Macaca fascicularis: one gene and its partner. The protein of the gene in region 1 binds, or shares a complex with, the protein of each later gene. Links are inferred from orthologs where the notes say so. Each region holds a gene or a part of one and is shown in the gene's direction. Other genes may lie near its edges.

Region 1 (2,562 bases):
AGGGTGATGAAACGATCCTCTCACTGGCAGAACGGCCCTAGGGGAGACCCAGCTCCACCCGCAACAGTGGCTCGGTGTTGCAGCAGGCATTCTTGTATTCCTCTGAGCACGCCGACGGCAGCCCTGGGGAAGCACGGGATGCAGATGCGCAGGTTTTAATTTTATTCCTTTTCCCTCCGGTGCTGAACAGCTGTATGCTCATCTGGACTCATTCAGACAAGCAATTTAGTCCTGACCTCTAGTCTTAGGCCCTTTGGGGAATAATTGAGTTGTAACTCATTGTGTAGAATATTGATATGTAAACAAGTGGAGATTCCAGGAACACCGCCAGGGATCTGCAGAGCGTCCTCTGAAGTTTCACGGGCTTTTCCATTGACTCCAGCCACTGCTTCTTCAGTGGCTCTTCCTCCCTTTCACTATGACCAGATGCCTTTTCTCTTCATTCTTTACTTATGAATTGGACAGTAAGTCTGAATTAATTTCACAAGATCCATAGCTTCTTTTATGCTGCAGAAAAGCCCAGAGCAAAGAATAAGAAGAAAGACATTCATGTATTTATTCATTCAACAAACATCTTTGCCGGCATAGCGTGGGAGGAGGTCACCAGACCCTTCTCCTGGGAATCTCCCTCCCTTCCGAGTGCCACAGATCCTCCCTGAATTGTGTGGCCGTAGAGCCTCCATTGCCTCCATGACTTAGCAGTTCTCTGCTTCCTTTGCAGGGGCCCTGGCCTCCAGTCTGAGTGCTGACCTCGAAGAGCCCCTGAGTGAGGAGGAGACAGAACACCCTCTCCTGCTTCTGCCCCAAGCCACTAAACCCAGAATCTCCAGGAAATTTCATTGCTGTACTAGTGCCCTCAGCAGGTCTTCCCATTAGTGGACTTCTGAAGCCCGTGGTGAATCCCACTACAGCATCTCAGATGGGACTCAAACTAGGCTGTATCATCTTGTCCTGAAACCTCACAAACCTTGGACTTCCAAAGAAGAAACGAAAAAGTCACCAAAAACCAGAGATGAACCCACTGTCACATGGGCATTGGTGTGGCTGCTCTGGGCAGATCACAGCAGGAAAAGATTCTGCTCTTTCAGGGAGGGGCGGAGGGCAGCTGGCTTCTGCACCCCAAGTTGTTTCTTCTCATTTATGAACCCAAGCGTGATTCACAGAGGGGCTGGCGAAACCATTGTCTGACTGAGGAATTCTATCTGCATTGATTTTGCTAGCTCCTTTTAAGTTAGGATTTATGGTTTACTCAAAACTTTCATCATCGTGGAAATTGGCTTTCCCCAGGGTCTTTTGCCCAGGAGACGTTTTACCTCAGTTGTCCAGTGTTGTTCCACCTGGTACCTGACGCCCTCTAACTGAACGAGGTTCTGCTCACCACGCAGAGGCCCTTCAGGTCGTGACGGTGATACCCCTATCTTAGAACACTCAGAAGATTCCAGAAATACAGGGTCCTGTCCTTGCATAAGTTCCTGCAGGACAGGAAGTGTCCCAAGGCTCAAAACAGCACAGACCACATCCACACAAAAGGCGCATGCCGGCTTCAGGCGCTAGGCTGAGCCGGGCACCCCCCGAATGGCCTTGTGCCTCCAGAAGCCTCACGCCGCAACTTGGCTCTCATCTGTTGCCCAGAGAGGCCTCAGACAGGCCTCGGAAATGTTTCTTGTCACACAAAGCTTTTGGTAGCAGATTCTAAGCAAGGGATTTAATCCTTATATTTTTGCCCATTTGGCTCCAAGGAAGGCACATTAGACCTGTTTTTTGTTTTTTCTTTCTTTCTTTCTTTCTTAAAAAAATGAATGAATTAATTAATGAATGAAAGAAAAGAGAAGCAATGGTAAGCCCTCTCCTGCTGCGGGGCACTGGGTGGGCCCTGCCCGTCCTGCAGCAGAGAAATCAGTCAGCAGTGAAGAGCTGCTGGCACGGACCCTGGGCTCTGCCCTGGACCCTTGACCTGCCTCAGAGCTAGAGGTTTGCTCCACCCCGCACTTCACTTGGGAAGTAAATCCGAGAAACTCATCAGAGTCAATCCCCACTGCGCAGGCTTTGTTCTCACAGTGGCTGGGGAGAGAGCAACGCCCTGCAGTGGGAAGGGAGAGCAGCACGAGAGACGCAGCCCCTAACTCGGCGTATAATGGGTGGGCCAGTCCTGGGAAAGGTGGGCCCTGTGCATGAGGTCTCCCCGCCATCCTCTGCCCTCTGCCCTCAGCCCTTGCACACACTTGTTACCTTCAGGCTGCTTGGCCACCCAGGCCTGAAGAAGCCTTCTGAGGCTCTCACCCCATCAGAGCGGCCATTTTCACTGAGGAGCCAGTTTTTTCCATTAGCTATTGAGCTGGTTTGGCTGGAACCTGGCCTTTGTAGAGAGAACGGGAAGACCCAGGAGCCAGACTCATTCTTGGGACAAATGAGAAAGGGCTGAGCTGGTCATTCTGTCGGAAGGGTGGGCCTGCTCATCCTGGAGAGAATTTGCTTTTCTGCTTTATAGGGGATTGCAGGTAGCACTTGAGGCCAGGCCACTGATAGGAGCACCTTGAGAATCACCTGAACACAAGAGAATGA
Region 2 (3,651 bases), on another chromosome or scaffold:
GTCTGTTTTCATTTACTATAGTGGACAGTTAGAGGGTCCCTTCTAGATGGAAATGCATGTTCTTCAGTTTTGAATTATTTTGTTGTTGCTTTCTTTCCTCTGTGTTCTCTGTTCTTTTTTTCTGGAACTATCTTTTTGGATGCTGGACCTTCTGGACTAGTCTTTGAATTTTCTTATTTCTCCTTTCCTGTTTCTCATCTCTCAATATTTTTGTACCGCTTTTTGGGAGATATCCTCATCTTTATTTTCCAGCCCTTCTATTGAGTTTTTGTTTTTCAGTATCCTGTTCCTATTTCATGGATGTGCTATCTTATTTTTTTGATAGATTAGGTAGTTTTTTGTTTGTTTTGTTTTTCTTTTCTTTGTATAGTTGGTGTCCTCTGTAGTGGTCTCTTCTTGTTAGTCTCTGTTTTCTTCAGGTGTCTACTAAACCTTGGTTATCTGTTCATAATTAAAAATGGACACCTAGGCCCAGTGCATTGGCTCACACCTGTAATCGTAGCACTTTGGGAGGCAGAGGCAGGCAGATAGCTTGAGCTCAGGAGTTCGAGACCAGCCTGGGCAACATGGTAAAACCCCATCTGTACGAAAAAATACAAGAATTAGTGGGGCTTGGTGGTGTGCACCTGTTGTCCCAGCCACTTGAAGGACTGAGGTGGGAGGATTGCTGGAGCCCAGGAGATCGAGGCTGCAATGAGCTGAGATTGTCCCAGTGAACTCCAGTCTAGATGACAAAGTGAGACCCTGTCTCAAAAATAAATAAATAAATAAGACTTAAAAAGCCAACTGGGGCGGGACGCGGTGGCTCAAGCCTGTAATCCCGGCACTTTGGGAGGCCGAGACGGGCAGATCACGAGGTCAGGAGATCGACACCATCCTGGCTAACACGGTGAAACCCCGTCTTTACTAAAAAATACAAAAAAACTAGCTGGGCGAGGTGGCGGGCACCTGTAATCCCAGCTACTCCGGAGGTTGAGGCAGGAGAATGGCATAAACCTGGGAGGTGGAGCTTGCAGTGAGCCGAGATCCAGCCACTGCACTCCAGCCTGGGTGACAGAGCGAGACTCCATCTCAAAAAAAAACAAAAAAAAACCAATTGGAAGCTCTAGGCATATGGATAGGGTTCATGACTTTGAGCTTCACTAAAGTGATCTGGCAGGGGCATTTGTTGGGGAAGCCTAGATGTCAGTATATTTAGGAGTTTCTCCTTTTCCATTGGCCAGATTCTCCAGATTCCTCTGGATGGGGATAAAGTCCTGGCTGCCAGTGTTTTGGGAGCAGAAAGGGAGAGCTGGAGGACTTCAACATTCAGTATGTGTGTGTGCAGGCATGTCACTTAATTGCCCCGTTTTCATGGTGGAACTCATTGCCTTTATCCCACAGGCCAGACAGCCTCTGTTTTACGCTCCCCAGAGATTGCACCCTTAAGCCGTCCCCTGGCATGTGAGATAGGTTGTTGCCCAGCAGCATGGAGTGGGAGAGGAGATCTAGAGAACTAGTGGAAGACTCTTGACTTCATTTGATCTTTAGAGTACCAAAATATCAAAAGGTCTAAGCTTTAGACCCCCTTTTGGAGAGGCAGGTAGGGGTGGGCTAACAGGACTGGCTTTTGGTGGATAAAACGTCACGTGACAAAACACTTGGTAGTTTTTGCTTTTAAATTAATTTGTAATCAAAGCCCAGTATGTTTGTGTCTTAATAGATAACCTTTAATTTCCTTAGGGCTTAATTTATGACAGGATGACACAGACATGTATATACATAATCAAATTTATGAATAATTTTACCTTTCTAAACACTGAATACATTCTTTATGAGTTATGTTGATGAAAGTAAATTTTTGGTTTCTCATGATGCAATCTATATATTACCATGTGATTATTCCTTTTAATCTAATACTTATGGAGATTTTATGTAATCTAATACTTACGGACATTTCATGTAAGGCATCTGGAACAAATCATTCTACAGTATATAGGTTGTTTAGGAAAACTGTAACTAGAGTTTTAAAAAAAACTATAACATAGTATGACTTGGGGGGATAAAGGATGTTACCCATGTGATTTTACCTCTGGATGTATCTCACATTTATTTATTTTTATTTTTTTAAATTATTTTTTAAGATGGAGTCTCGCTCTCTCGCCCAGGCTGGAGTGCAATGGCATGATCTCGGCTCACTGCAACCTCTGCCTCCCGGGTTCAAGCAATTCTCCCTGCCTCAACCTCCTGAGTAGCTGGGATTACAGGCGCCCGCCACCACACCCAGTGAATTTTTGTATTTTTAGTAGGGACGGGGTTTGACCATGTTGGCCAGACTGGTCTTGAACTCCTGACCTCAGGTGATCTGCCCACCTTGGCCTCCCAAAGTGCTGGGATTATAGGCGTGAGCCACCGCACCTGGCCTCATATTTAAATATGGAGGTGATTACTGGGACTATACCTTACCTGTCTTATCACATGTCTCTCCACTATTATTAAAATTCAGAGTGCTAATCTTCTCCCTTTAATTCCTTTATCAACAAGGGCTTATTGAATATTTGCTGTGTATACAGAATGGTTCCTTTCACTCAGTAAACTTAGAGACTAGTTGAAGAGATAAAACTTGCACAAATGAAACAGTGGTAAAATGCATTTTTAAAATATCATAAACAAGAAGGGGATTTTTATTTTTATGCAGAAGAAGTATTTTTTAAAAGAATTTTGTTTATGCCAGGTGCAGTGCCTCACACCTGTAATCCCAGCACTTTTAGAGGCCAAAGTGGGTAGATTGCTTGAGCCCAGGAGTTCGAGACCAGCCTGGGCCACATGGTGAAAGCCCGTCTCTACAAAAAGTAGCTGGGCATGATGGCACCTGTAGTCCCAGCTGGGAGGGACTACTTGGGAGGCTAAAGTGGGAGGATCCCTTGAGCCCAGGAAGCAGAGGTTGCAGTGAGCTGAGATTGAGCCACTGCACTTTAGCCTGGGCAACAGAACAGGACCCTGTTTCAAAAAAAAGTAAAATAGAAATGTGATTATTATATGTGGTAAATAGGAAACCTAGAAAGCCAGTTTCTAAGGGACAAGAAAATACTGAGCAGTTCACTGGCTTAGCCAAAAAGAGTAATTTCTTTTCTTAATCCCAGGAATGGAAGATTGCGAAACAATGGAGGATGTGTACATGGCTTCAGTGGAAACAGACCGAGGAGTAAAAGAACAGTTACATCTTTATGACACCAGAGGTCTACAGGAAGGCGTGGAGCTGCCAAAGCATTATTTTTCATTTGCTGATGGCTTTGTTCTTGTGTACAGTGTGAATAACCTTGAATCCTTTCAAAGAGTGGAGCTTCTGAAGAAAGAAATTGATAAGTTCAAAGACAAAAAAGAGGCAAGTGGATAAAAATGCCAAATGTGAATTATAATACCATTTAAATTATAGCACAGACTTTTGGGTAGTTTATTTTCAGATCATTACAATGTATTCTTAGTATCTGTAAAACCTTAACCCTTTACAGTTTTTTTCTTTTCTTTTCTTTTTTTTTTGTTTTTTGTTTTTGTTTTTGTTTTGTTTTTTGAAACGGAGTCTCGCTCTGTCTCCCAGGCAGGAGTGCAAAGTGCAATGGTACGATCTTGGCTCTCTGCAACCTCCGCCTCCCAGGTACAAGCGATTCTCCT

What was found.
Region 2: the proteins of RALGAPA2 (region 1) and NKIRAS1 are in contact, whole or in part, in a crystal structure (PDB 9QU1), measured with the Homo sapiens proteins. The link is inferred for Macaca fascicularis from reciprocal best matches to the Homo sapiens genes RALGAPA2 and NKIRAS1. Residues at the interface, in NP_065076.2 of Homo sapiens: Pro20, Lys21, Tyr51, Ser52, Gln53, Phe56, Tyr59, Glu60, Ile63, Arg99, Phe102, Arg103, Trp104, His105, Tyr106, Gln107, Ser108, Lys185, Ile186, Tyr187, Pro188, Glu189; in NP_001364280.1 of Homo sapiens: Lys6, Glu22, Leu24, Leu25, Tyr26, Glu34, Met39, Glu40, Asp41, Val42, Tyr43, Met44, Ala45, Ser46, Val47, Glu48, Lys54, Gln56, His58, Tyr60, His74, Tyr75, Ser77, Phe78, Lys108, Thr162.

Annotation. Positions count from the first base shown.
Region 1 is NC_088384.1:66,928,119-66,930,680, forward strand, and holds part of RALGAPA2 (ral GTPase-activating protein subunit alpha-2), read left to right. Parts: intron 1-721; coding exon 722-876; 3' UTR 877-2,562.
Region 2 is NC_088376.1:24,452,058-24,455,708, forward strand, and holds part of NKIRAS1 (NF-kappa-B inhibitor-interacting Ras-like protein 1), read left to right. Parts: intron 1-3,122; coding exon 3,123-3,368; intron 3,369-3,651. UniProt on the Homo sapiens protein: Atypical Ras-like protein that acts as a potent regulator of NF-kappa-B activity by preventing the degradation of NF-kappa-B inhibitor beta (NFKBIB) by most signals, explaining why NFKBIB is more resistant to degradation.